4 linked regions of the Lonchura striata genome follow. The protein of the gene in region 2 purifies or fractionates together with the protein of the main gene of each other region. This does not show direct contact. Links are inferred from orthologs where the notes say so. Each region holds a gene or a part of one and is shown on either strand. Other genes may lie near its edges. The genes, in order: BCL7A, ARID1B, SS18 and SMARCD2.

What was found.
Region 1: the proteins of ARID1B (region 2) and BCL7A purify together in Homo sapiens (affinity purification with mass spectrometry; 4 studies listed by BioGRID and IntAct, counting the BioPlex papers as one, with this or other methods). This does not show direct contact. The link is inferred for Lonchura striata from reciprocal best matches to the Homo sapiens genes ARID1B and BCL7A.
Region 3: the proteins of ARID1B (region 2) and SS18 purify together in Homo sapiens (affinity purification with mass spectrometry; 4 studies listed by BioGRID and IntAct, counting the BioPlex papers as one, with this or other methods). This does not show direct contact. The link is inferred for Lonchura striata from reciprocal best matches to the Homo sapiens genes ARID1B and SS18.
Region 4: the proteins of ARID1B (region 2) and SMARCD2 purify together in Homo sapiens (affinity purification with mass spectrometry; 5 studies listed by BioGRID and IntAct, with this or other methods). This does not show direct contact. The link is inferred for Lonchura striata from reciprocal best matches to the Homo sapiens genes ARID1B and SMARCD2.

What each region holds. Positions count from the first base shown.
Region 1 is NC_134620.1:12,285,020-12,292,649, forward strand, and holds the start of BCL7A (B-cell CLL/lymphoma 7 protein family member A), read right to left. Parts: upstream 3,009-7,630; 5' UTR 2,873-3,008; coding exon 2,781-2,872; intron 1-2,780.
Region 2 is NC_134605.1:54,590,823-54,598,603, reverse strand, and holds the start of ARID1B (AT-rich interactive domain-containing protein 1B), read left to right. Parts: upstream 1-4,780; 5' UTR 4,781-4,853; coding exon 4,854-6,605; intron 6,606-7,781. UniProt on the Homo sapiens protein: Involved in transcriptional activation and repression of select genes by chromatin remodeling (alteration of DNA-nucleosome topology).
Region 3 is NC_134603.1:46,049,085-46,055,983, reverse strand, and holds the start of SS18 (protein SSXT), read right to left. Parts: upstream 3,003-6,899; 5' UTR 2,876-3,002; coding exon 2,807-2,875; intron 1-2,806. UniProt on the Homo sapiens protein: Appears to function synergistically with RBM14 as a transcriptional coactivator. Isoform 1 and isoform 2 function in nuclear receptor coactivation. Isoform 1 and isoform 2 function in general transcriptional coactivation.
Region 4 is NC_134627.1:1,869,168-1,877,135, forward strand, and holds the start of SMARCD2 (SWI/SNF-related matrix-associated actin-dependent regulator of chromatin subfamily D member 2), read left to right. Parts: upstream 1-4,958; 5' UTR 4,959-4,984; coding exon 4,985-5,011; intron 5,012-7,968. UniProt on the Homo sapiens protein: Involved in transcriptional activation and repression of select genes by chromatin remodeling (alteration of DNA-nucleosome topology).

The sequences.
Region 1 (7,630 bases), on a different chromosome or scaffold from region 2:
GATGTCTGTATTTCCCCCCATTTAATAAATCAGACTTTGACAAAAAACAAGAGTGTCTTCAGTATTTTTCTAGTACTGGTTGAGGGCACAATAGTTTTTGTCCCTCTCTTCTTGAGAGCCCACTTGGAATCTACATGTACCCATCAACTTTTAAAGCCAAAAAAACAATCCTGTACCATTAATTGAGACAAAGTAATCTCAGAGGATTTTTTAAAATAGACTGACAGAAGAATTTTAAGTACTGGTAAAGAAAGGTAGAATTGTTCACTTACTGTGGAAATTTAACATTTCTGCCACACAAACACAAGGCAACCATGTATTCTGTAAGCCACGTGCTGCGTGTTTTCCAAAACAGATGCTCATTCATGAGCGTGGTTTAAACAAAGGAGATAAGGTTACAGTAATCTCACGATAAAAACATAACAACTTCACTGTTTACTACTAAGTTCCAGCAATAACCAGAAGTGCCACGTGCTCTGTGAGCAGACAGGAAGACAGAGGAGCTGCATCCAAGTGCTGGCTGTCCAGGAACACTGATTTTCTGAGGAACAAAGTCTGCCCTGATGGAAGCTGCCCTCCAGCAGGCACGTTCACATCCCTGTGGCAGCACAGGGATTCGGGAGCACCAAGCACAGGTGGATGATGCCTTGGATAAAGCCATCCTCCACTCGGATGAGTTCCCAGCCCCGTCTGTCTCCCTGCCCATCCCTGGCACGCACTGCTCTGAGCACACAAGTCTCACAAAACTCTCTTCTAGGAAATGCTGGACGCAAGGTATTTTAATTTTCAGTGGCTGCATTTCCACAGAAGAGCTGTGGATGGCAACAAATTGCTCCTATTATGCAAATGAAACTGCACACTTGGAAATTGCCGATGTGGCTCTTCTGAAGATGCAGGAATTGCTAGTGTGGAAAGTTCAATTTAACAAGCCAAGTCTTCTCAAAACACTGAAACCACAAAACACAGAATCTCTCTAGCTAATTTCCCGCTGTATTTGACTGCAGGTGGAGGGGGGGTAACCATGAGATTCAACTGCAAATTATGATTCCTTTAAAAATAAGAAATTTGCTTTATGTAAATACTTGTGAGGTGCACGCACAAAAAGTCATATTGATACTTCTGACAATAATCAACAGAAACACTGAATGACTTACAGGAACCCTCTACAGCAATTGTCTATCGTGAAGGTTAAAATGTAGAGAAATCTATTTATACCACAAGATTTCTGTTTTACAGAAAGAGCCATAGCAACTGGCATGATGGCAGAGAGTCCTTGCCAAGAAAAAAATAAATAAATTAGGTATTTTGTTGAATGGCCAAGCTTCTGTCTCTACTCCTCTCTGAATTCCACAAACCAGGATTCAAAGGGAGCGTGCAGAGCTCATGAATGAAATACCTACAGACAGAACAGTCCCACACATCCAACCACGCTCCAGCTGGAACAAAAGTCCTGTCACACCGCTGCACATTGTTCTGACCTTCCAAAGCCGGCCCAGCAGTCAGCAAACTGCACTTAAAAACAAACCCGAGTAGAAGAGAGTTCCTGAAACCACCCGAGCTGCTCCGGCTCCCTACACAAAGGCTGGATTCTCTGAAATCCCCGTCCCGTGCCCGGTGCTCCTGGACACACGTCCCGGTCCCGATTCTTTGTCCGGCTCACGCCAACGGGCCCATTCGTGTGCTCAAAGCCATTTAAAACTTAACAAACCATTTCACTCTAATACGAACACGTTCAACTCTATCTTTGGCTCTTTTTTTAACGAAAACAAAGCGTTAGGTGAGGAGGACAATAGAAGTGTCCCCTTGATTTCAAACCTGCAAACCAGCTGAATGATGCACAGTAACAATAATGCAAGGAAATTTCCTCGTGGATTCCAAACGTTTAAAGGAAGTATTTTAAGATACATGCACAGAGACTGCTGAACAGTCAGGCAACTTGCTGGAAGAAAGATTCACTCTTGAGTCACAGCGGCACTGCTCTTTATGCCATCCCAAATCCCCGGACCGACCATGCAGAGCACGGCGCGACCGCTGCACTGTATTGTTTAAACACCTCGTGTGGGTTTTTCTAACAAAAGCAGGGGGAAAAAAGACAAAAGCGGGGAAATGCCAAAACGCGCTGAAGGCCTAACAAAAGGGACTTACTTCACACGGGGTATAACCTATAATTTGATGATTTAAGAGAGGTTCCAGGGGCAGTTCGCGCTCTCTCCCGTAGAGTCAGTGGGAGACGATCGCGCTCGGGTTTGCTGCGCTTTTACGCACAAACCCCGGGAACTCGGGAGGTGAAATCAATCCACAAACAGGCAACGACAAAAAATAAACTCTCGGGAGCTTCAGAGGGGTATTCTTAACGTGTTTTCTTTTTTTCCAGAACACTTCTCCGAGCACAATTTCCACCCAGAAGAGCGGGCGGCGGAGCCACCCCGGGCCCGCTCCTCGGGCCCTTTGTAGGGGCCGGCGGCGGGAGGCGCCCGGCCCGACCCCGCCGCCCGCCCATGCCCGAGGCGCCCGGCCCGGGCCCCGCGGCGAGGGGCGGCGGGCCGGGGTCCGCGGGGAGCGGCGGGGGCGGCGGGGAGGGGGCTCGGCCGCACAATGGAGCCGCCTCTCGCCCTCACACGCCGCCGCCGCCTTCATGTGACTCGCCGGAGCGAAATGGCTGCTGGGTGCCGCCGGCTCCCCGCCCCCCGCGGCCGCCGGCGAGCCCCGGAGCCGCGCGGGGCCGGCGCGGGGCGCGGGGGACGCGGGCGCGGGGTCCCGGCGCGGCGCGGCCCGCTCACCATTTGCGCACTTTCTCGATGGCCGCCATCACCCGCTTGATATCATCCTTCGCCCGGCTCCGGGTCTCGGCCCGCACCGACCGGCCCGACATGCTGCTGGGGGGCGGCGGGCTCGGCGGGGAACGCGGCGCTCGGCGCGGCCGGCGGCTCGGTCCGTGTGTCGGGGCGCCCGCCCGCACAATGCCGGGGCTGCGCGGGGCTCGGCACGGCTGCGCTCGGCGGCTCCGCTCGGCTCCGCCCGCCCGCCCGGCGGGGCCCGCGCTCCGCGCACGCGCGCGGCCGGCGGGGAGGGGCGGGGCGGGCGCCGTGAGGGGACGGCGGGCGGCGGGAAGAGCGGCGGGGCCGTGAGGGAGCGGAGCGGGCTCCGAGCCCCGCGCGGCCCTGCGGAGGAGCCACCGGGCGGGAAGGAGCCCCCGCGGGGGAGAACCGGGAGGCGGCCGCCCGCCCCGCGCGCTTCCGGAGTTCCCGTCGCTGGTTTGCCTCGAGCGTTCGCTGGAGAGAACACAAGACAACGTTCTTTCCCCACTCCCACCCAGCTCAGGCCGTAAGTTACCCCAGAACTAAAAAGTTTTGCCGATTTCAGCTCGCCTCCACCCTAAAGGGTCAGCAGGAGCTGCCCAGGGAGGCGGTGTAATCCTTTAGAGAAAGACTGGATGTGGCACTTGGTGCTATGGTTTAGTTGACAAGGTGGTGACCCGTCAAGGGTTGGATCCCACAGATCTTTTCCAACCAAATTGGTTCTCGTGATTCTGTGATAATCCAACGCAGTCTAGCAGCATCAAGAGCTCAGTTACATTTTACCACAAAGAAAAATCCAGTCCTAAAATCCAGGGTTTTTACAAACCTCAAAACACTTTACATAGAGATAATACCTATTTTTGTACAGGGCAGTGACAAACATCCATCCTATCCTTGCACCAGTTGCCATGACAGACCTTGAACATGGGTATGTGTGATGAAGTCCCCTGTTTTACACGAAGCATAAATCCATAATCAGCAGATTTTAGGTTTGTTTCCCCAGTGGTTATAAAGTTTCTCAGCTGCTTTAACTAATTCCAGCAATATCCATTGAATTGGGCTGCTTTTGAGCAGTGGAGGCTCAGCTCCGACAGAAATCCATGGAATTACATGAGCATAAAGGCTAAATGAGTTACATGGGAGGTGATGCTCTGCAGGAAATTTGTCACAGACCTGCGAGCTCTGGTGTGGTACTGCTGGACTCCTTCATTAACTTCTCCCTAATGCACACCTTGCTGTTGTTGCTAATTGTACAATCACAGATGCTCTGAGTACACAACAGCGATCTCTGTTTAAAAAACATTGCTTCTGAAAGGAACGCTTCTTAAGGGCCTACATTATTATTCAAATTGATGCCAAGGATGATGTAAAGAAGGAAGCTGTTCAACAGCACTTCACTGATCTTTCTACAGCAACTTGTATCAGTCTCATTATGCTGTTTATACACACACAGAGTAATGCCGTCCCATTGGTATTACACTGCTAATTGGAATCTCTACTTTCAGAAAGAAAAAGTCAGTTTAAAGGCCAAAAGAGAAGCGTGGTTTTAATGTGTACCACAGCATTTATTTCTTTACCAAGGTCCATTGGATTTATAATTACAAATCCATTCTAACCTGTCAAAGCATTTATCAATGTATTTAATCAATACAATACTCTTACGTTGCTCTTTTGCTGTCAGGTTTCACAAATGAATACTGTCTTAACGTAATGAAAATAGACTGCATCTGGCATAAACCCACCTGAAATGACTTCTGGGAATGTTCCAGCCAAGGATGGAGTGGCCACCTGCTTCATTCTTTCCAGCCATTCAATGTTTCCCTATATAGGTGTGAAATTACAGGTTTGTGGCATGGCCCAAACTGGGGACTTACTCTAGAGTTTGACTGAAATTTAACTATGTGACCTTTACTTTGCAATAAACACAAGCCATAAATTTTGCAGATATTTGAGGAGAGGATCCTGGAAAGTAGGAATAAACAGAAAATCTAGTGGTCGCTAGATTCTGTGCCTTTGTAGATCAAAGATTCTTCTTTTTCCTTGTGTTCTTTTTTTCTGGTTCAGCAATAGGTAAGCCAAGAATGTCTGCAACAAATATCTCTGCTGTGATTTCTGCTGGAATTTCTTCTTCAATCAAAGCTGCTGCACCTGGAGAGCAATAACAGCATCAGAAGACACACAAAAGCCATGTCAAAATTGCTCTCCAGTAAAATTTATAAGCAGCAATAAGTGAATGAAATGTTTTTAAAGATGTACAAAGAGATCATGACAAAGTGACAGTTTACTAGCTTGATACTTTATGTGTTTATATCAGGAATTAAGCCTGTCAAATCTGTGTGTCTCACCTTGCAGCAGGTCCCTGCCTCAGACGAGTCATGGGACAACTTTAACACTTGGTCAATTTAATGTGATTTAGGATCCTGAGGGATCCAGGGATTTCAGAGTTTCAAAGTTCCCTTCAGGAGCAGCACCTTTGCTGCATGGCGCCCATTGCCAGTGACCCTAAACAGATTCTGTTCCAAACTGGTGGGGACTGGGACATGAATTGTACAAAAATGCAGTTCCAATTACAATGGGCAATTAAATTCAGCCTCTTGGCTCAAATCAATGCTATAATTTGCTGTTCCAGACTGGTGTGGACTGGGACATAAATTGCAGACAAATGCTCTCGTTACCAACAGCTCTGTTACAATGGGCACTGCGGCCTGGGTGAAACCAGCCCTGGGATTTCCCTGTGTGTTTCTAATTTCAGTTCCAGCCAGCAGATAAACAGCAATGTAATCTTGTCAGGCCCTAGTTATAGTTCATTGTCCATTTATTTTTAGATACACCCGTGCAATTGCTGCGTGGATGAAGGACAGTCTGTAGCTCTGTGACTATTTTTGCAATCCCATCTGAGCAGCTTTGACAGCTCTTGGCCTAACAGGGTAAATGGGTTTGAAATTTAAATTATTCCATTTGGGAATTAAACAGTCCTGCTTCTCTGCTGTGTGGAATGCTAATCCTGTACCTGTGGGATCGCAGGTGTCCAGTTCAGATCTTTCTTTCCTGGGTCTCCTGCCCAGCAGGGTGGTCAGACACTCAGCCAGCTCGTCCTCTGTCATCTGCTCCCCTGTACAAAATGGAGCACCACCACCGTTGGGTTATGGGGTCAATAGCACAAAAACTCAAAAGCAACTGCAATTAAACTAAACAGGACAGTTCAAAAGAGGACCTGGCTTCTCTGAGATAGAGACATATACAGTGCCAACTGAAACACATGATTCCAATGCAGGAAAATGTTGATCCTAAGGAAAATTGTCTTCTCTATAGCATTTTGGGGGAAAATGTCAATCAAAAGAAGAAATTATGATGCAGACTGCTCTTTAAGCAACACTGTAGTAGCAGGGGCTTGAGCTTCTCTTCCCACTGGAGAATTCCTGGCAGAGACCACAGTCCATGTAGCCATTTTCATGCAGAGGAAGAGAAAGGTGGAGAAAAGTCTTAATTTAGTATCTTGAAATAACATGGACACAGCACTTGTTCCCAGTTAGTGGTTGGCTCACGCCCTGGAGCATGAGGTTATAGATCTGTTATGAAACTGTTCTATCTGATGTACCTATTTATGGATGTTCACACCATCTGTATAAATAGCTAACCTTTCTCACACTGGTTGAATCCGTGGTTTCCAAGGATCTTTGTGGCAAGGAGTCTTGCCAAGTGATGTACTGAGTAAATCAGCATTTCCCTTTACCTGTTTTAATGCTCGGCTACACTTTTACACCAGAAGTAAGACAATAGAAGTTTGTTATTAGCACTCTATGGCACTGGCCACAAACAAATTAACACCCACGTTTATGGTGTTCTCCCTGATTCAGCTCAACTGAATCATCCCATCTTTTCAGTCTTTCACACTGGGTGCAGCCTAGGACCAATTTCATCCCTCCTTTCTTGTGTCCCTTTTATCCATTTTATACTACTTTTCCAGAACCTGTGTGACTAGAAGAGAAAACAGCAATTCAGATAAGGGCACACTGGGAGAAGGATACATTTTGCCAAGATCCATACTTATCATTTAACAGCTGAGATACCTCAGGCCAGCAGAGATTTCCAGAGCAGTAAAAGAAGCACAGCTGGGACAAGACAAGTGATTATTCAATTTAAAATCTGAAGGCAGGTGGCTCCTCACGCCTGCCCTGGTTACCAGGTTCTCATTCCAGGATAATTTCTTGCTGCAGGGAAAAAGTTCTGAAATTGCAGGCAGAACTAGCAAGCATAAAACTGATATTAGAAACAAAATAGCTCACCTCTGCACTGAAGCAGTGATAGGAAGTCTCCTCTGTCGATAACTTTGTCTCCCTTCTTGTTATCATAGCCAAGAACCTGAAATGCTCGTTGTATGGTTTTCATTGACAAGCCAAGTGCAGGTCGATGATTTATATAAAGTTTGATAAAATCATCTAAATTGATTTTTGTCACTTCTTCTCCAGTATCTGCATACTTGCTGAATTTTACTTCGTTTATCATGTCTTCAATCTAAAGATCAAGACAAGGCAGATGTTACATGTTTTATTTTTAAGAACATTGGGCCAGTTTCCAATCCCATGAATGCCAATGTCCCTGAACTGTGCATGTGTTGGTGCCATGACCACATCCCAGGAGGAAGCTTCATTCAGCAGCTGAGGATGGGAATGGCCAACAGTCACACACCTGCTGACATGACAATAACAAGTAAAGATGGGGGTTACACACACACACAGTCAGTTTGGATTTCCTCTCTTGTGACAGGCACTCGGTGACCCTACAGCTGTTAGTGGCACCTTGGGCACAGCTGTGTCTCCACTCTGGAACAG
Region 2 (7,781 bases):
TCTCTTGCACATCAGAAAAGATTTGTAAAAGGCAGGAGAATGGGAAAGAAACTTGGCAGAGAACTCTATGATTACTGTTATACTGATTCTTGTTTAACTTTTCTAATTTATAAAAAATGTGATCATAAATTATTAATTCAAAGGAAGGCCAGCCTTTTCCTAAATTTCTCCAAAATGCAATGATGTTCTCAAACATTGGCACAGGATCCAGAAATATTAGAGTAACTCAGTTTAAAGGCTTAGATTTCACTGGTAGGTGAACCCTGAAATCAACAATCCTTCTATTACTGCCAAATGCAAGATTTTGTTTTGGCTTAGACAATTGGTTGGACCCCTATCTCACCAAAACAGAGACACAAGAGCTGTTTTTTCACAGAGGCCTCAGTCCACAGAAGCACAGGACTTAAGCACAGAAGCACAGGGCTTAAGTTTAAGGAAGCAAGTGATCTTACTGACTTCAATGGATGATTCGCATTTGTAAAATTGAGGCATTTAAGCAGTCTATTCAAGTGATCTAACTCTAGCGGGTTGCATCTTCATAATAAAATAATGTATGACATTTTCGAGATGGTGATGGTGATGTTGTAAAGTCCTTTTGTTCACACATTGCCAGAAGAAATGGATTAAATTGCCCAGGATTAGTAGCTGCTAAAGATTGGATTTTAATTAATTGGTACAATGTGTCACTCTCTGCGTGTTTTAGGCCATGATCTGTTGGCATAAACCACATTTTTTTCAAAGTTCACTTTGTCCAGCTAAAATAAAATTTTTACACTTACCTTACAGGCTTTACACCTAACAGAATCTGGCTTATCAGCTGGACATCTATGGCACTAGTTTATTTTTTACATTTGTGACTGAAATGTAAATATTACATAATAAAGAAAACAACCCTGTGTTATATTTATATGTTGACCACATAAGGGATCTTTTAAAGCAAAATTCCATTACTATAGTTCTAAATGCCAGGCTAAAACAACCCTGAGCTGGCTGCCTACTTTTCTGTGATCTGATTTATGCCTTATTGAAATAAATTAAAAGATTTGCACTGACTTCAGAATGATTTTGATTGGATGTTTAACTAGTAATAGAAGTGATAATTTAATAAAAGTCCCCATACTTCTCTCTTTTTTTCTCATTAAATCAAATGCAAATGTAAAAGAAGGAAATTGAGAATTACAGTGAATTTGACAACAGTTTCATTAAATTGTGCAGTGTATTTAACCATAAAGCACAACAAGATCCCAATGAAAAGCTCCTTCTTTTGTACACAGAGATTTTTCAGATTCCTGTGCACACCAATGTCAAATCCAACAGGGTCTTGAAACTCAGATTGGATTTTTACCAAAAAAATTTAACATATTTTTCCCAATACCTCTAACATAACATCTCAGAGATATTACAATATTGGTTTGTTTTCCGTCTCTCTCTTCAGTGTTACTCTTTGTATGACTTGGAAGGCCAAACAGAAGGATGGCTGCTGTACTGAGGGGAAAAGCAGTAACTTTCATGGGCTTGAGATACAGACAGGTGGCCTAGGGTGTCTGTATAAATGCTGTAGCCAATGGTGTAAACAAATTACCAACAGCAAGTTTAGAAAATTATGTTGTTTATTTTGATGAGGGATCCTAGAGCACCACAGTTTATAATTTATCAAGAAAAATAAAGAGAAATAAATTACACTTGGACAACACTGGTTTATAGAAAATAATCAAATGGAAGGAACAATGAAAATAAAACTAAAGTTGAAACTGCGCACTTGCGATATCAAATATCAATGCAATCACTTTGCAGCAGATAATATGCACGGTAATTAAAGCTTTTTTACATTATATTATAATAAATTCATAATTCATGCATACAATGAGAGCTTTTGGAAAGAAGCATTTGAATTTAACAAACACTACCACTCATCATCTGAGCAAAGATGGCAAAAGGAATTTCAACATTATTTGCGCTCTAGAAAATTGAACCATCGTTGTTGCTTTGTGTTGTGCTTCCCTTGCACAGACTGCAGTGCCTTCTGTCTGCTTTAGGGTGTGGCATCTGCCATTGGGGAGGAAAAACTGGCATGTGTTGCCTTTTATAGCAGACTGATTTCATTGTGCTGAGGGCCTCAATTTTATAGCCTCTTAGTTCCAATCTTGTAGCCGAGTTGCTGAAACAAATGGGAGGAAAAGGAGTTAGTGGTACGAACTCTTCAGTTTAAAGCCTCGTGCTTTTTTTGTCCTTTTCCCAGAGAAAACATTTCAAAGTAAATCTGTGTTAAACTTTTGCGGGTTATTTTCCCGATTGGAAAGAGTTGCGGAGTGTGTCAGGAAGTACTGCGATCTGCAGCCCGGGCACTATCAGCACATCTTAGCAGATCATCGATACACGTATTTTTGCTCAAATAGAAATGTCTCAAAGTATAAGTGTTTAATTGATTTTATATTTTATGTTAGAGTACACATGTAAAGAAATACACACAAGGAGAAGTCTATATTTTTATTTGCATATGAAAGACTTTTAAAATCAACTTAGGTGGTTTAATGTGTATAATTAGCGTGCATTTGAATATAGAAAAGAAGAAAATCCAGGAGATAATGTCAAAAAGGCTCACTAACAAAGATGTAGTATTCTCTTGGCAAAAGCAGATGAATGATTTGGCATGAATTCATCTTACGGTTCTGTTATTCTCTCTCCTACAAAGATGATATATCCCTTTCTAGCAGTTTGCATAGAATTGCAATTTGTTGTTGTTACAGACTGTAATGACCCTTGGGTATGCACCTGATTCCCCCCGCTAGAATTACTCACCATTTTTTTTTTTCCCACTCTGTGTTTATATATGTGTAGCCATACAACATTTTTGCACTTGCAAAGGATACAAAAAAATCCAAAAAACCACAAAACCACCAACCAACAAAAAAAAACCAAACCCCACAACTGTAAAACAGAAGTATTAGCAAGATGTACTTCTCGAGCACTGAGACTTTTCAAAACTAACTCCCTAATGCAAATCATAATATTTTTGACTTTTCAGACAGAACTAAAATTAATAGACGCTGGAATCACACTGCTCATACATTTATCAATAATCTTTACATGTAACTCAACATTAGAGCATGAAGCTTCTGCTCCTTTAATATTTTCACAGTGAATTCAAAAAAGCCTACCTACTCATGACAGCATCTTTCTTGATATGCTTTTTTCTCTACCATTATGATTGTATCTCCTATTTATCCATTTTGAAATTTGAAAACGTGCTTAACTTTAACAGACCGTATAAATATATTAATTTAAAACATCGTGGTTTAGACCCTTGCTGTTTTGAAAACGTTCGCTAATATCCCAGTTTGCTGTATTCATAGCCAAGTATTTAATCTCCCAAATGCTTTCATTAGTTCAACGTAATGTGTGACTATTACCTTTTGTTATACTAAGGTATCCCTTGTATTAAGATAGTTATAAAAAAACCTTCAAACCATTCTAGTTCAAAAATGTAGGTCAGCAGCAGCTTTCCATTTGGAGCAAGTTACTCAGATTATATATTTTGGGTTTTGTGTTACTACGTTTACATGAGTGTCTTGTGCATACTGGAAATTATATTGTTTGGGGAATCAATTATGAGACTGAAAATGTCTCTGGCTCTTTGATCATCTCTTGTTGAACTGCAAATAAGTACACAGAACATATTGAAAACGGCCCTATATATAAAAGCATCATCAGTGCAAATGACCGTTAGAATTTGGAGACAGCTGGACAATGTGGACAACTGCAAAGATGCTACCACTGCAGAATTGTAGGTTAAATGTTATAACCGTCTATACATACAAATATAAATCTTCAAGGGGCGGGTGGCTTGTGGGGGGGGAATCCAAAACAAGTCTAATTTCTCCGTCACACGGACAAACGTGTCCCTGCCCTCGGAACAGGAGGCGGCTGCTGAGCACGGAACACGGGGCTGGGGGGCAGCGTGCGGCCCCCCAAAGTTTGACCGATCCATCTTCTCCGGCACAGCTGGAGCGCATGGCGGCTCCTCGCCTCCCTCCCGCCGAACCGGCCCGCGCGGGGCAGCGCCGCCGGCGGCACCCTCGGCCCCGCAGCACCGGGGACAGTCCCGCTCCCCGCCCCGCCCAGCGGCGCCCGTCGGGGCCCGCCTCGACCCCTCGCTCGGAGCAGCTCCCGCGGGTTCGGTGCTCCGCGCAGGCCGCGACCCCCGGCGCGCACACGGGCGGGACCCCGCTGGGAGCGGGGGGACCCGCGAGGGCCGCGCCCCCCATCCCGCCGCGCTGCCGGGAGAGCAGGGAGGGGAGCGGGCGCCCGATCGAGTCCAGCGTGGAGTCCAGTCCGCGTTTTGCGGGTGCGCGGGAGCGATCGGGGCGGAGGGGGCGATGGCTGCCGGCGCTGGCTCGCTCGCTCGCTCATGCCATGCTGGGCCAGCGCGGCTCCGGCAGACGTGTGTTTACCCATATCCGGGTTAGGGAGGAAAGGAGGAGAAAAAAAAAAGTTTCATTTAAACCTGAACAAAAAACTTTCAACGTGAAATCACACAGCGGGAACGGGCACGGACCGTAAGGCGTTCTTACCATTTCTAACCTCAACCACGGACTCGGGGAGGGAAATCGCTGTAACTCGGTGCGTGCGGAGCGGTCCGCAGGGGATACTCTGGGCTCAGTCAAGTCCCTGCCCCGGCCGCTTCCCCTTCTGCCCCTCTCCTCTCCTTCCCCCCACCCCTCTGCTCACCCCCCATTTTTCAGGGTGGGAGTAGATTTTTTTTTTGTTTGTTTAGTTTTTCAGTTTTGGGGTTTTTTAAATTTTTCTGTAGTTACTATTATCTGCACCAATTTCTCCGGACTCGCAATGTTGCGATGATCATGGCCGCGCAAGTCGCAGCGGCTCCGGCGAGTGCGAACAACAGCAAGGGCAAAGCCCCGAGCCTGCCGAGCGGCCTGGGCCCAGAGCGAGGCCCGGGGGGGGCCGGGGCTCCCGGGCCGGGCCCCGCACTGGGGGTCGGCGAGGGGAGTCCGGCCGGCAGCAACAGCGTGAATAATTTAGATCACCATCTCCACCACCACCACCGCGGCGAGCCGCCGAACATGGCCAATAACGCGGCTCCCGCCGCTGCCGCCGGTAACAACAACAACGCCAGCGGCGGCGGTGGCGGCTCCTCCTCGGAGCCGGCTCTGAAGGAAGGTGGAAGCTCCTCGGAGTTATCTTCTTCGTCTTCTTCCTCCTCCTCCTCCTCCTCCTCCAACCCGGGCTCGGCTATGGAGACGGGGCTGCTCCCCAACCACAAGCTGAAGAGCGTCGGAGGCGATCACCCCGCCGCGCCGCCCCACCACCACCATGCCCACCACCCGCATCACCATGCCCACCACCACCATGCCCACCACCCGCACCACCACCACCATGCACTACAGCAGCAGCTAAATCAATTCCCGCCGCCGCCGCCGCAGCAGCCGCCGCCTCAGCACCATCCCGTGCAGAATAACAACAGCAGCCTCGGCGGCGGCGGCGGCGGCAGCGGCAGCAACAACAACGGCGGTGGCGGTGGCGGCGCTGCTCAGCCCAGTGCAGACATGGAGCAGCAGCAACATGGAGGAAAAGACAGTGTTTTGGGCGCTCAGGCCGAGCCCACCCAGCAGCCGCAGCAAATGCTGAATAAAGGCGCCGACGAGGAGGAGATGCCCGGCAAGATGGGCGAGCCCATCGGCGGCCGCTACGACCACCCCGGCTTGGGACCCCTGGGCGGACAGCAGCAGCCCCAGCAGCCGCCCCCGAGCGCTGGGAGCGGCGGCGGCGGCCTCGGCGGCGGCGGCGGGAGCGGGGGAGGCGGCGGCGGCCCCTCCGCGGTGGGTGTCTCGGAGTTCAATAGCTATTATGGCAACCCTGCCCCTGCCCCTGCCAGCAGCGCTACGGCGAGCCGCGCCGGGCCTTGCTTTGATCAACATGGCGGACAACAAAGCCCTGGGATGGGGATAATGCACCCCACGGCGGCCCCCAACAGCATGGACCCCCTGCAGAACTCCCACGAAGGGTACCCCAACAGCCAGTACAACCACTACCCGGGCTACGGCCGCGGCCCCGGCGGCGGCGGCGCGGGCGGCGGCGGCGGCGCGGGAGCCGTGGCGGCGGCGGCGGCGGCCGCTGGGGCAGGCGGCGGCGGCTACGGGGGCTCCGCGGCGGGATACGGGGTGCTGAGCTCCCCGAGGCAGCCCGGCGGCGGCATGATGATGGGCCCCGGCGGCGGAGCCGGCCTCGGCAAGGCTGGTGCCGGCGCGGCGGCGGCGGCCGGCGGCTTTGCGCGGTTCTCCGGGCAGAACCAGCACCCGTCCGGGGCCACCCCTACCCTGAACCAGCTGCTCACGTCCCCCAGCCCCATGATGCGGAGCTACGGCAGCAGCTACCCCGACTACAGCAGCCCCAGCGCCCCGCCGCAACCCCAGCCCCAGGCAGCGGCGGCCGCCCCGGGAAGCCAGCAGGCAGCGGCGGGCATGGGCATGGGCAAGGACATGGGCGCCCAGTACGGAGCGGCGAACCCGGCCTGGGCAGCGGCTCAACAAAGGAACCACCCGGCGATGAGCCCCGGGAACACCGGGCAGGCCATCAGCAGGACCCAGGTAACTCCCCGCGCTCGGTTAATGACGGTTCGTGTCTGTGTCGCTCGTGTCGGGGTCTTAGTTTCTTTATAATTCACTTTCTTTCTCTCCCCCACCCCCTTTTTTTTGTATTTTATTTTTTTTTCTCTTTACCCCCCCCTTCCCCCCTCCCCCCCCCCCCCCCCCCGTTCTCTTCTGGGCCACTTTTGCCCCTCGCTGCCTCCGTAGCGAGGGTGAGCTGTGCACAATGCGTTGGGGCTGGAGGCACCGGAGTGTGGCTTTCGCTGCCGAAATTAGGTTGTTCTCAGACCCAATTAATATTTTCTCCCACCACTTTGAAACAGTGTCGGAGAGACGCAGGGCCCGGAGGACAAACAGCTCGGGACGGACGGGGGCGGGGGATTGGATTTTGTAACCGGAGTGCCGGACCGGGGGGCTCCCGGGGGATAACGTCCATTATCTTTCACGGGGCCTTTTTTTCCTTCTCTCTTTAACCCGTTGCCTTTTTTTTTTTTTTTTTTTTTTTTTTTTTTTTTTTTTCGATCTCCGAGCAGAACGAGTTGCGCCGTTGCGCGCTCTCAGCAAATTAGTTTGTCACTGATTGGAGTTACCGCAGTGAGATCCACGTAACGCGGCCGCGCTCCTTTCCCTGTGGGAAGAGCGCGCGCGCGCGTGTGTGCGCGCGTGTGCGCCCGGTCCGCGCGGGTCGTCCCGGCCCGGTGACCTGCAGGGGACTCGCCCGCCGGCAGGAGCGTGCCCGGTGCGCGGACGCGTAATTGCCTTTCACTTCTCCGCAAACACACGCGGAAATTAAAAAAAAAAAAAAAAAAAAAAAAGAAAAAAGGAGAAAGGGGAAAAAAAAAAAAAAAAGAGGGAAAAGTCCTTGGCGTAAGCGATGGGGCGCGGGCACCGGCGCAGGCCGCCGCCCCCGCTCCCTCCCGCACTCCTCTCCCCCAGCCCCGGTAACTCCGGCGATCGATGGATGGATGGATCCGATCGATAGGCAGGCGCGATGATCGCGGGGCGGCGGGCGCGGCGTAGCGCCTTTCCGGGGCGGCGCGGCGCGGCGCGGCGCGGCAGGAATGCCGGCTGCCGGGCGCGACCCTTGGAGGAGCGTCCGGGTCTCCTCCGCCCGCCAGGTTGGGAATTTGAATTGTGGAGGTAAACTGGCTGCAACCGTCTCCCGACAGCTGCCTC
Region 3 (6,899 bases), on a different chromosome or scaffold from region 2:
CAAAAGGTTAAGATCACCAGTTGAGATAGCAAAAATTTACTGGAAATACCACTGAAATAAGAAGCAAACAATAACAATAGCAAAAATACTACTAATGGAGAGTACAAGAGGGCAAATTATTCACATTCAAGTGCTCATCACATACAGCCCCCAACAATACCTGATGACACCACAACACATGACCCCTTCCCCCATCCCCAGAAAATTAAGTGAGGTGCTACAGAATAACCTCCAGATCCACGCCATGAGACCCTCCCTGGCTATTGCAAGAATTAATCCTGCGGTGGCCAGAACCAGGACAATGGACACAATAAATCTAACATACTTCAGCAGTGTCCATGAAAATGAATACTTACTAATTAATTTTCTTACCAAAAATGAGTAGTTCTAAAAAAATCATGGAAAATGGCCAATTTCACAACTTTCTACAAAAAGTTCACAAAGTGTTCCAAGCTCTCTAAACAGGGAAAAAAACGACCCAGTCTCCTAGAGTGAATGTAACCCACACTCATCTTTCCAGCTCATGCTCTGCACTCTGATCAGGCAAGATTCAACAGAACCATGGCTAATCTGAGCCATCAGCCAAGTTATCCAAGTCAGCTTATAGAAATGGAAAATTTAATGCCAAATGTAAATTTTTGCATCAATTTACTCCTTTGCTTTCTCTGACTGGAAAGCTAGTTTAGATCCCTTTACCCAGCTTCTGAATATCACAAAACAAGCAGAACCTTAAAACATCCTACACATTCTCTCCTTCTTCCAAACATGGTTGAAAACAGCCATGAGTAGACTCATCCTTCCACAAGGAAAGCACAACATCATACCACAACCTTTATTCCCCTAACAAATTCTACAGAGAGGGAAAAAACAACAAAAAAAGTAGTGTCAGTTTTTTCCCCACTTAATCCATGTCTACTATGAAAAGAGTATGGAGTCAAACACCTTATGCAGTTCACTCAGGACTTCTATCCACATAAGAACCAGCCAAGTTTTCTTGAACTTTAAACCGTAATTCACCAGAATGGACTAGAATGATCCCAGTACAAGTATTTTGCCTGAAACTGTTGGATCTGGAAACATATTCATTAAGCCCTAAACACAGACATAACTGCAGTATTTTCAGCTACTTTGTGAGCCTCAGAAACCAGGCAAAGCTACAACTGCACTCTCTGAAGAGGATCACACACTGCAACATTGGCACACAGCACGTGTACTAACTTCAAGCTTTGTAAGAAACACAGTGGCCATTTTCATCATTTCAGGAAAAAAAGGAAAAAATTAGATAATACGATTGATACCAAAGTCTAATAGAGGACTTGCAAAGGAAGCTGTGAATCAAGGTCCTCCTCAAAATATCTCCCACAGTTCTGAGGGAAACAGCAGATTCTTAAGGCTTAGCAGACAAGTAGACCTTGAAACTGCCCATTAGATGGTTGCATTCTTCATTACAGCCATGTAAGACACACCTCTTGAGAAGCAAAGGACTGGAGGGGGGCAGGAATGCTAGGGGCTAAAAGGAAAGGGAACAAAAAGGATTATAACTGTATCCTAGGTAGGGCTACAGTCAACTGCTTTTTAGAAGTTTAAATTAGTGTTTGCTGACAGAAAATTGTAATAATTATAAACATCTACCATCAAAAGAGAATTTAGTTTCCAGCTGGATGAAGATACCTTCAGGGCTTCTGACAACTTAGGTACTACAAAAATTCTTCAACTTTAACACTGGGGTTTTGCCAGCACACCACCACTGAACTAATGGTTTGACTACAGACCCAGGAAAACTTTATCATCTGTATTCTCCATGGCACCTCAGCATCCTGAAGTCTCTACTGACTACCTCTGTGCAGCTTTCCACCCAGTGGATATGTATTTTTTATCTACAATTCCCAAGCACTGACTTCCCCCTCAGTACCCTGGATGTTTCCCTTACAGCTCCAAGGTCTTCTCTGAGGTCCATATCGCTGCAGCACCTGCTTTGTAGAGATTCTAATTCTTTACTAAATCGGATGTTAGATCTATCTACTTAAAGGACTCCTCTACATAAGGGGATGGTACCAATCTGAAATCTGTTTGATCCACGGCCACCCACACCAATGACGGTACAAGTCTTGAGTTAAGTTTCTAAATACCACACAGTTACCAGTGAACTTGAACACGCTCCTTTGCTGCTGCTGTGGATTATTATTAATCCTGTATGCGCGTTTCTTTGATGGCTTTAGAGTTAACTTGCTCCCTCCCACACAAGCTTAGGTGGAGTCGTCCGGAGCGGCTGTCACTGGCTCCGAACGCGATATTCTTCTTCAATCACACCTAAGGCTTACTGGGAGGCAGCCTTAACTACCAGGTCGACCAAGTTTGGGAACTGAAGCCGCCTCCTACTCCGCAGCGCCCAGTCGGGCAGAGGGTCTGGAACAAACCGGCCGCGGTCCCACTGTCAGAGCCCTCCCGCAGGAAGGATTTACTCGACTCTCCGCTTCCAGGCCGAGTCCTCTCGGGTAAATTCAGTCCAGCGGGGCGATCGGGGCAGCCCAAGCGAAGGAAGAAAAACGAGGGCTGCAAACACCCAGGACACCGCCCGCCTCCTCTCGCCGGCCCCGGGACCCTCCAACAAGTGTCCAAGTGCAGAGACAGGGGCCGAGCCCCGGGCACAGGGAGTGCGGCCCGGCCGCCTCCCTTCCCCGCCGGGGCCTCGGCGCTGCGGGCCTGAGCCGCCGCCGCCCCCGTTCCCCGCGCGGCAGGAAGCGGCAGCTGCAGCCCCCGGGGCCGCCCGGGCCGGGCCGGGCCCTGCTCTTCGCGCCGTCCTCACCTTCTGGATGGCGGCCGGCGTGATCTCGCCCTTGCCCCGCTGCCTCGGGGCCGCGAACGCCACCGACATGTCTGGTGGGCGCCGGAGCCTCCGCGGCCGCTCCCGCCCGTTCGCGCGCGCGCCCCGCGGACCCAGCAGCGGCGGCGATCCGGGAAGAACGCGGCGCGCGGTGGGGCGGGGGCGCGCGCCCGGTGGGACGGCCCATCCCCATCCCGCCGGGGGAAGGGGTTAAGGAAGACCGGCGGCTCCTCCCTGCTTTTCTCCTTGGCGAGGGGGCACCTCAATGACACCGTGGCTGCCCCGCACGGCCCGGCCAGAACAACTGGACCGAGAGCCGATCCTGAGCCGCTTCGAAAGTGATCTCCACGCACAGCCTTGTCACGCGCCTTTCTTAGCTTCCCCTTTCCCTCTGCCGCATTGGTACGTTCCTGCCCGAAGAGCCTCATAGCAGGGAAGTGGTACGGTCGGCTGGGGGGAGTGGCGATGTTGTGGCGCGCACGTTGCAGGGGACACGCTAGGGCTGTGCCGGGAGGCAGTCTCTACTCCCCCCTCTGCCCAGCGCCGCATTGGTTGCACCCGGGCAGCCCCCTCTGGCGCAGCGCGGGGTGGAGCGGGACGGGACGGGACGGGAGATGCGGGAGGTGGGCGCTGGGAGTGCGGGGGCACCTGTTGTGGGGTCTGGAGCATCTCATGAGGAGAGACTGCGGGAGCTGACCCGGTTAGTCTAGAGAAGAGACGATTCATTAATCCATGTACACGTCTCAAAGGAGGGTGTCAAGAGAGTGGTGCCCAGCGACAGGACATGGAGCGATGGCCATAAACTAGAACACAAGAAATTTCCACTTCGACATGAGGAAGGGCTTTTTTACGTGGACGGTAGCAGAGCACTGGAACAAGCCGCCCAGGGGCTTGGGACGGCTTTCCTCGATGAGTTGGGCGGCTGCAGGTTTCCTGCCCTAAAAGTGAAACAGAGCAAGAAGAAGCAGCATTAAACATAAAATTACAAACGCTGGAAGCCCTGAAACCAGCCTTGATTTGTTTCAGTGCAGCCACTGGAGGGAATCTTAGTGTTGCCAGAGAGCCTTGTGGACAAGTCTGCAAAGTCTAAGACAGATTTTGGAAGAATGAAGAGTTGCAACCAGCAGTTGGTACAGGGACATGAAGGTCCCCAACCAAAGTATTTTAAACCTTCTTGTTCCTGGGCACATCCTTTGCCCAGCCTGTGTGTATTCCAGTGCCACACTACAGGCTAGGATACAGAGTTGGCCTTTGGCCAAGTGGTGGCTGCTCTTGCAGCTGGCCGAGGTGTGTGTGCTTCTGTGGCTGGCAGGACACTGCCTGCCCGGTGACAGGATACCACAGCCCACGCCACAAGACGTGAATCTTGAGCCTTGCTTGCTTGCTCTGGTTCTCAGCAGTTGCTGGCGGAAGGCCCTGGCTAAAAAAGCCAGGCCTTTTGGTCACAGCACACGTTTGTCAGTGGCATCCATGGCTGTGCAGCTGCTTCCCAACTGGCATGCTCTCTCCTCACACTGGATTTATGCTGGCTCCTGTCCCCAGCCCCATGACGATTACTCATGCTGGCTCTGCTGTCTCAGGATATGCTGCGACTGCCCATCACCCCCTGCTTTCTCCCCCAGGCTTGCTGGCTCCAAACTATTGCATTCCTACAGTATCCCACTCCCCAAGGGCTTGCCCCCTGGACCTGATGCTCTGTGTTACCAGAATGACGCTACTGCCCCGCCTCTTCAGATTATACAGGACCCAGAGTTGATGGGATGCTAATCTGGTTTGCTTTTCTCTAGGAAATATCTGTGGCTCAGTGCTTGCTCTGTAGGTTATGCTAAGATGGATCAATGCCAGCATGTCCTTTACTTTGTGTTTGTAACCATTTCACTCACCACTGTGGTCCATTTTCTGGACTATTTTAGTCCATTTTTTCTGTCTGTTACACACTTTATCATCACCGCCATCATCATCATCACTACTACAATACTTGCAGGAAACCAAAAATAAAAGAGGAAGATTTGAAGAAACCATATTTTTCTAAAGTTGATACGCTTCATGGTGATCTATGGTTATTATTACATGGTCTTGGAGTGAACTCAGAGAGTAACTGTTGTAGTACCTGTGTTCAAATTGGTACTTTTTTAGTTACTACAAACAGCAGCAAAGAACTCTACAAATGAAGAATTCTTCATTCTTCATTTGTAGGGTTTTCTGATTTGGCCATGGCCAAATCAGAACCAACCATCTCCTACCCAGTTAGTAATAGAATTATGAGGATTGGTTTTTTTTAACATATACTTGTCCCTGAAGAACTGGTGAGGTGTCAGAAAGTGTCCCAAGGCTGCAGGCATAGGAAACACATTCCTATGAAATATACTGAACACTGGTATTGCCACAAAATGTTTTCCCTTTTTCACAGGTGTGACATCTGGATGTCCTACTCTGGTTACCCGACCCCTGTGTATAAAGTATTTTGCACTGTGATGCCTTGATGATCACAATGTTTGAGATGATGGGTTAGATGCCAGCCACATAAACACTGCTTCTAGGATCTAAATGTTACATTTTATTCTTCCACATTTTCAGGTTGGCTCTGAGTTGAGGGAAAAAAAAAATAATCTTGTGGGAGGCCACAGGTGAGGAACCTTAAAACTAAAGCAGTAATTTCTCATTTTATTTCCCCAGATAGTCCAAACTAACTATGTGATTTTTTTTTTTTAGTATATTCCTTGTTCCATGCAAAATACAGGAGAGCAGTGTTTGAAATACAACTTTGTCAGTTTCTAGAGGAAAGATATAAGATTATTAATTCATTGTTGTTAAAACTATCTCCTTTAACTCATTTTGTCTGAGGATTAAATTAAATTCTTTTTTTTTTTTTTTTTGCCAGTTGTGATATTTTTTCATTCATGTGTTTAACATTTTGGACTTCCACATTCATAAATAGCAGCAAATCTAAACAAACATTGAAAAAAGCAAGTCTGAAGCTCTGGGTTTTATTACCATGCAAAGAGAAATTCACATTCAAAATCAACATTTAAATAATGGCACAGATGCATACAAGCAGGGAAATAGATAGCTACAATGGAAATGTGCCACATGTCTCAGAACACATAACCACAACAGGGTGTCTCTTTTATGACTTCCTTAATGCACTGCAATATGTCTAGATATCAAAGGACATATGGTATATTTTCCCTTTAATTGCACATTTCTTTGCTCTTGTGAGTTACTCACAACCTTAACATTATTTAATTGTAATTTAGATGAATAAATCTCAGTCATCATCAAGAGTTTCAAATGCAAACATGTTTCAATGAGATCTTATTTCCACCTCTATTCCGACTTTTATCAGTGTAGTCTTTCTTTTTTGTTGGTGTGCATTTGAGTAAGTCATATTTTTTGGAGAGAGAAAAATTCAGACAGAGGAGGATCAGTCCTTTTCCGGAAGACTTTTTTCCTATGTTTCCAACTCATATTTCTTAGTAACAACTTGTTGTCTGCCACTTGTGTTATCTGAATTTCCTCAGAGTCATGGACATTTCCATCCACAAGAAGGAAAATAGAGAATGCTGATTCATTAACATTCTCAAATGTACATTTTAAATTTAAAAAATTTAAATGTAGTATTTATGAAGCTATATATGTAAGAAAGGGACAGCAAAGAATTTTATGGTAGCACCACTTGCTTAAAGACTTTAATGACTGCAGGTCTTGATATGAAAGTTAAGAATTCTTCCTATGAGCCAGGTGTTTCTTAGACAAATCTTTTTTGGTGAGAGCACCTAATTTTCTGTACTCACTCCAACTGACAGCAACACACTCATTTTCTTTGCTATAGTAAGGATGGATGATCGCTCAGGATCTACTGCTAACAGATAGGATAGCGGTGAATTTAAGCCTCTTTTTCAGAGTAGACTACTTTTTCATCTTGAAATTTAAAAAATAAAGGAGGTGTTTATCTAGGTTTTTTGTAACATCAACAATACCATCAGGTAACAGAGCAGATCCTAAAGTAGAAGGGTCTTTCAGTAGATGAAAAAGGAAGATGGCAAAAGGGAAAAAATGCAATTTTTGGTTTAGC
Region 4 (7,968 bases), on a different chromosome or scaffold from region 2:
CCCTTCCACCCCAAGGTATGGAGTGGCCATGGGCACAGATTTAAATGAAAAATATGCACAGGATGTTCCTGGTTTTCCATCCAGAGGTGAAGATTCCCTGCTCCCTGCAGACAGCCAGGAGCAAGCACCTTCCCAGGCAAGCACTGAGCCTCACCTAGGCTGATTAACAGGGTCTGGTTAATTGGGTTTCAGCCAAATGATGGAGGAGAAGGAAGAGTAATCACCTTTAACCACCACAGTGCAGATCCTTTAGTCAGCATCCTCTGGGTTTATCCTGAGCTGGCACCTGCTGGCTGCTGGGAAAGTTCCTCAATTCCAGAGGAATTCCAGCAAAGCCATTCATTGCTGGGGTCTCCAAGTCTTGGAAAATGTCTCAGGAGGAGGGGACTGAAACCAGCACCTGAAGAAGGGAGAGGATGGAGCCTGGTGTTCCTGGGAGCTCCAGGGGCTGCAGGGAGGGAAAAGGGGAAGGAGGCTTTACTAAAACGTCTGATGAGCCCTGGAGGTGGAGTGGAGCAGGGAGGTGCTGCAGGCAGCACATCAAAAACACCCTGCTGAGGACTGGGAATACTTCCAGAGGTGTTTTCCTGCTGGGAAAATGGAGCTGTGGTTCCTTGAGAGCATTTGCCCCGGGCAGGGGAAGCTCCTGCTGGCAGCAGCACTTTGGGATGGAGCAGTTCCCACTCCAGCAGGGTGAGGAACACTGAGGAGAGAGGGAAAAAGGGGGAAAGAGCAACTTCCTGAAGGTCATTCAGCCAGGCAGGGATGGGAGGAGGACCTGATGTCCTGAGGTGTCCCCAGGCCTTGCGACTTTCCATGGGCTCAGGTAAGACAACAGGAATAACAACAGAGCTGGAAAAGCAATAAAGCCCTAATCCTCACAATCCCTGCCTGATTTCCCTGCAATCCCATCCCTTCTGCATCCCAGAGGGATGGCTGGGACCTGCCTGGAGACAGAAATCAGGCTCAGCTCAAGCCTTGTCCTTGCCCACCTGTTTTCCAGTTTATTTTGAATTGGAAACATTGCCTCCATTTCAGTAAAAGCAAAAAATCCATGAGGAGAGGCTTCTCCAGTTCAGATTTTTTCTTACCTATGAGTGGGAAAAGGAGCTCCAGATCCTGGAAAATTGTTTTCCTATGGGAAAGAGTGCCCAGCACAGTCCTCTCTGAAGGAAGATGGAAAATCATCTCAGTGACTGAAGAGCAGAGCCCTGGGTGTCCCCCAGGGAATGAACACTTGTCCCCACTGCTGTCCCACAGAGCCACCAGGAACGAGACTGGGACAAATCCCACTGAGAGCTTGAGCCCTGTAAGGGGGAAAGGAGCCTTTTCCAACCTTTAATACTCAGGAATTCTGCTCGGGGGAGGGCCTTCAGTGACACCCACGGGGTGAGGAGGCTCAGCTGTCACCTGTGCCCTGTGCCTGGGGTCTTGTGGTGAAGCCACTGCAGGGGAACGTCACTGTCACTCCTCCTGCCCATCCTTGTCCCTGGACAAACAGGGACTAGGCAGGACACAGACTGCCTCAAAATCCTGGAAACCTCCCCAAAACCATGGGAACACTTGCAACTACACCTGCAGTGAGGGTGTGATGCCAGCCTGGGATAGACCCAGCACGTGAGGAATTCCTGGGCACGGGGCGGGCTCTGAGCATCTCTGAGTGCCCTGTGGCAGCGCCCAGAAATTCCAGCCTTTCCCGGGATTTCCCTGAGGGTTATCAGCGGCTCAGATCGCCCCCGGACAGGGTTTGGTTCCCTTTATTGAGGTGTCAGCCCTTCCCAAGGGTTTTGGTGGTGCTTCAAGCGCGCTGTGGGAGCGTCCAGGTGTGGCTATAGAGCAGGAGGGTTTGGAAACACAGCCCTGAAGCGCCGTTCAGAGGATCCCTGCCCGGATTTACGGGAATTTGGGGAATTTTGGGCATTTCGGGGATTTTGTTCCGACAGCGGAGCGCGACCCTCCAGCGCCCCCTGGCGGCCACGCCGCGGAACAGCCGCGACCCCCGGGAACACCGGGAATACCGGGAACACCGGGAACAACGGGAACACCGGGAATATGGGGAATATGGGGAATATCGGGAACACCGGGAATATGGGGAATACCGGGAACAGCGGGAATACCGGGAACACTGGGAACACCTGGAATACCGGGAATACTGGTAATATGGGGAATATGGGGAATACTGGGAATACCGGGAACACCGGGAACACCGGGAACACCGGGAATACCGGGAACACCAGGAACACTGGAACACCAAGACCACCGGGAATACCGGGAACACCGAGAACATTGAGAACACTGGGAACACCAGGAATACCGGGAACACTGAGAACATTGAGAACACCGGGAACACCAAGAACACCGGGACTGCTGAGAACACCGGGAACAGTGAAACACCAGGAACACGGAGAATACTGGGACCACTGGGATCACCAGGATCGCTGAGAACATCAGGAACACCGGGAACACCGGGAACACTGAGACACCCACGGCCTCCTGACTCCCGGGACCACCACAACCCCCGAGATCCCCACGACCCCGAGACATTCCAAACTCAGTGTGCGACTGTGAGCCCCGAGATCGCCGTGAGCCCCGAATCACTGAGAGCCCCAAATCACTGAGAGCCCCGAGATCACTGAGATCCCTGAGATCACTGAGCCCCGAATCACTGAGAGCCCCAAATCACTGAGAGCCCCAAATCGCCGAGAGCCCCGAGATCTCTGCGTTGTGAGCCCCACAGTCCCCGGGGCTGCTGAGAGCCCAGGGACGCCCCCGAGCCCCGAGATCCCCGGACCGCCGAGCTTCCCGCAGGTGCCGCGCTGCCCGCAGCCGCCCCAGGTGTGCGGGACCCCCGGCTCCTTCGCCCAGAGCCGAGCGCCGCCCGTCCCGCGGGACCCCCGTGCCCACATCTTGCACCGGCACACACGCGTGTGCAAACACGCGAGGCACCAACATAGAGCCCCCACGTTAGGTGTGCAAACAAACACCCCCGCACACCTGTGTCACACACACACACCTGTGTCACACACACATCTGTGTCACACACACACCTGTCACTCACACACCTGTGTCACACACACACCCATGTCATACCGACACCTGTGTCAGACCTACACCTGTCACACACACACCTGTGTCACACACACACCTGCGCCATACCTACACCTGTGTCACACAGAAACACCTGTGTCACACACACACCTGCGCCATACCTACACCTGTGTCACACAGAAACACCTGTGTCACACACACACACCTGTGTCACACACATATCTGTGTCACACACACACCTGTGTCACACACACACCTGTGTCACACACACACACCTGTCACACACACACACCTGTCACACACACACCTGTGTCACACAGAAACACCTGTGTCACACACACACACCTGTGTCACACACACACCTGTATCACTCACACACCTGTGTCACTCACAAACGCCTGTATCAATGCACACACACACCCCCACTCGTGATGAACCTGCACACCTTCTTGGGTTCATGCTACAGACACACGTGTGTTCATACACAGGTGCTCACACACACCTACACACACACACAGATGTTCACGCCTGCACACACACTCACGTGCACACACACACACACACAGGTGCACAGTCACATACACACAGGTGCACACACACACAGAGGTGCACACACACACACACAGCTTTTCACACACACACATGTTCACACACACACAGCTGTTCACACAAACAGCTGTTCAAACACAGGTGCACACACACACACACATACAGCTGTTCACACACAAACACAGAGCTGTTTACACACACACACAGCTGTTCACACACACACACACAGCTGTTCACACACACACATATACAGCTGTTCACACACACACAGGTGCACACACACACACACAGAGCTGTTCACACACACATACACAGCTGTTCACACACACACAGGTGCACACACACACACACACACACACACACACAGCTGTTCACACACACACACACACACACACAGAGGTGCACACAGAGCTGTTCTCACATACACACACACACAGGTGCACACACAGACACGCTGTTCTCACACGCACACACGCACACACACACACACACAGGTGCACACACAGACACGCTGTTCTCACACACACACACGCACACACACACACACACAGGTGCACACACAGACACGCTGTTCTCACACACACACACACACGCACGCGCACACACACACGCTGTTCTCTCTCACACACACACATACACGAACACACACACGCTGCTCTCTCACACACACACGCACACACGCGCATACACACACTGTTCTCTCACACGCACACACACACACGAACACGCACACGCACACACACACACGCTGTTCTCTCACACACACACACACACACATGAACACACACATACATACACGCTGTTCTCTCTCACACTCACACACACACACGAACACACACACACACACACACACGCTGTTCTCACTCACACTCACACTCACACACACACACGCTGTTCTCTCTCTCTCTCACACACACACACACACGCACACGCACACGCACACACAGGTGCCCACGCGCGTGCGTTACGCACGCACGCACGCTGACGTCACTCACGCACGCTTACGTCACTCACGCACGTCCCGCCCGGGGCTGGGGGTGGAGCCTGTGCCGGAGTGGGCGGAGCTCCCGGGTGCGCGCGCGGCACGGGGGCGGGACCGGGGCGGGGCCGGGGCTGTCCGGGGGGCGGGGCCTGAGGCGGCGGGCGCGGAGCCGTTCCCGGTCCCGGTCCCGGTCCTGGTCCTGTTCCCGGTCCGGCGCCGCCGCTCGGAGCCGCCGCCGGGGCCTCCCCGCCCCGTCCCGTCCGCTGCGGCCCCGCCATGGCCGGGCGCGGCGCCTTCCCGCTGAGCCCGCTGCCGCCGTCCGCCGCCCCGCCGGCCCCGGGGCCCGGCACCGCCCTGCTGCGCGGCCCCAGCCCCGCGCCCGCCGCCGCCCCGGGCTACCGCGCCATGGGCCCGGCCGCCGCGCAGTACCAGGTGAGAGCCCGGGGCGGCGGGAGGGCGGCGGGGCCCGGGCGGGCCGGCGGGGCCTTCCCGGGGCAGGCGGCGGGCCCGGCCGGCATCGCCCGGAGCGGGCCCGGCAGCCCCGGGGCGGCCGCTCTGCGCCGCCGTTAGCCGGGGCTCCTCCCTCGTCCCGGCTCACACTTTGCGCCCTCCCAGCCCGCGGGAAGTTGGGCCGGGCCCGGCCCCGGCCCCTCCGAGCTCCGGGCCGGGCCGGGCCGGGGTCGCTGCCGGGGCCCGGGCCGGTCCCTCCGCAGCCGTCCCGGCCCGGCCCCGCGCGGAGCCGCCGGGAGCGCGTTCGTGCCCTGGCAGAGGCAGCGCGTGGTGCGCGGATGTAACCTCGGAGTATCCTCGGAGTATCCTCGGAGTGTCCTCCGGAAGGACCGGGGCTTGCTTAGTGGTGGGGGAGGAGAGCGGGCGCTCGGTAGCGTTGGGGAAAGTAAACCCAAACAACCAGCAGCCCTCCAAAAGAAATTAAATCACTCGTTTTTCAGCCTGGCATCTTTTACGAGTAAATTCAGGAAGTAAGAACTGTGTTTACAAGCGCCTGGAGGGACAGGACCCAGGGAATGGCTCCCACTGCCATTGGGCAGGGATGGATGGGAGATTGGGAATTGGGAATTGTTCCCTGGCAGGGTGGGCAGGCCCTGGCACAGGGTGTCCAGAGCAGCTGTGGTGCCCCTGGATCCCTGGCAGTGCCCAAGGCCAGGCTGGACAGGGCTGGAGCAGCCTGGGACAGTGGGAGGTGTCCCTGCCATGGCAGGGGTGGATTTAAGGTCCCTTCCCACCCAAACCACTGCATATTTCTCTATTATTCCAGCAGTTAGAAGTATATCCTGACACACTTTCCTGCTCCCCCTTGCACACTTGGCTTCTCAGTTCACTCCCAAGTTTGTGCTGATTATTTCGGGAATGAGTTTTCAGATATAAAGCTCAGTTTTCGAGGCAGGCTGGAAATGGAGGCGCCCAGTTGTGCAACACATTCTCCTGGGCCGCCGCTGCCTCCTCCAGAGCTGTGCCTGATTTGCATGATTTAAAACTCAGGAAATAAACCAAGCGCAGGGAAATTCCGGCTCCTTAACACAGGAGAAGGAAACAACTTCCTCCTGCAGCCTTCAAAACGCCAGAAAATGGTGTTGGAAGCTGAGCTGGCCGGGTGTGAGCCGCTGGTAACTCGAGGCGGGAGCACTGCCTGACCTTCCGTGTGCAGGGTGCAAAATCCAGCTGGGAGGCTGGAGCCAGCTGGAGCAGCCGGGTAAACAGGCTGGCAGATGCTGCTTCCCCAGGCTGGGCTGGCAGCAGGTGTCGGGGGCAGGGGGCGATGGCCCCGCGGTGCTGTGCTGGCCCCGCGGTGATGTCCCCACACACACAGCGGGATCCGCCCCGGGGCTGGTGTTGAGTGGCCTCTCCCTGAGCCCGGGAGAGGATCCAGGCGGGTCTGCCCTTTGTTTTGCAATTCCCAGGCTGAGGAAAACAACCCCTCCCATCTCTGCCATCCCCCCAGGGCTTGGTTCTGTCCCAGTTTTAGGAAGAGCTGTGTTGTTTGGGCACCAGGAGACAGAAAAGGCCGAGGCCAGGCCAGTGAGGGCTTAGGAGCTCTAATCTCGGGATTATTAAACATATGTTCGTCCTTTGGACATCCTTGTGTGCCTGCTGGGGATTTCCTGGCAGCCCAGGCAGGGAGTCCAGGGGGCTCCTTTGGTGGGAGCTGATGTTTCTGGAGCAGCCAGGGGCCAGTGCCATGCCTGGAGCAGGAAGGAGAGGCCTTTTCCAGGAGCAGGAGCATCAGGCGTGGTAGGGGGTGTGGGCAGATCCCCCACCCTGATCCCTCTCCCCAGGATGCCCAGGCTGAGCCCCAGCAGCCAGGTTTCATGGAAGTTCAGTGGGAAGGAGCCTTCCTGCTTTTTCAGGTGCTGGCTTCAGGTGTAGGAGAGTTTTTCCCATGTTTTGGGATTAACACCGTGGCCTGGAGCAGCGTGAATCAGTGTGGGATGAGACCTTGGAATTCAGCGCTCTGGCCCTGCTGATGCTTCCCTGGTGCAGAATTAGGTCCCCATTAAATGGATTTTATTGGCACGTGTTGGGAAGACAGAGCCTGGATTCCCTGGCCAGGAGGCTGCTGCAGGCTGAGAACTCCCAAGCCTGGAAGCAGCTCTGTGATCCTGTCCCTGGGCAGATGGCAGTGGGAAGGGAAGTTGGGCTTCATGGAGAAATCCTTGGAGCAGCTGAAGAAGTGTGGAATGTTGTGCCACGTGAAAGTGGCCTGGAGAGGGTGCAGTGTGGGAGAAATCCACCCCTTGGGGAGCAGGGAGAACAGTGTTCCTGCTCATGCAGTGGTGGGGACTGGCTTGGAGGGGGCCAGGGGCCAGCAGCCAGGCCTAGAGCTGTTCCATAAGGCTGCTTGTGCTGGATAACCCCACCCTTCCCCAGGGAGAGGCTTTCCAAGTCAGGTTTCATCAGAGCCCGAGCCTGGAGCTGCTTCCAGCCTGATCCAAAGCAGATGGACACTGTCCTTTGGAGCAGGGGAGGAGGGCAGAGCAGAGCCCAAGCACGCTCTGCTGCTCCTGGGAAACGTGACAGGGAAGGGGGAACAGCAACACCTCCAGCCCTGCTGCTCCCTCTGCTTCCACAGCGCCTTCCCGGGAACCCTCCAGAAAGTTTGGCCCTGCAGGAACACCACGGGCAGGGTTTGTGCCAAGCCCATCTCCCCAGGAGGAGCCTGGGATTGAACAGAAATTCCCTTTGTTCCTTGTTCCTGCCCCTGTGGGATCTGAGTCCCTGTGACCTCTCCTTTCCCTGCCCTGGAACATTCAGGGCTCCAGCTGCAGGGCTGTGGACGGGCAGGTTTGTCCAGCCCAGACAGCTCTGCTGCTGCTGGAGACATTCCAGGATGTGTGCTGGGTCTGCTGGGGGCTGTGCCTGTGCTGTGCCCT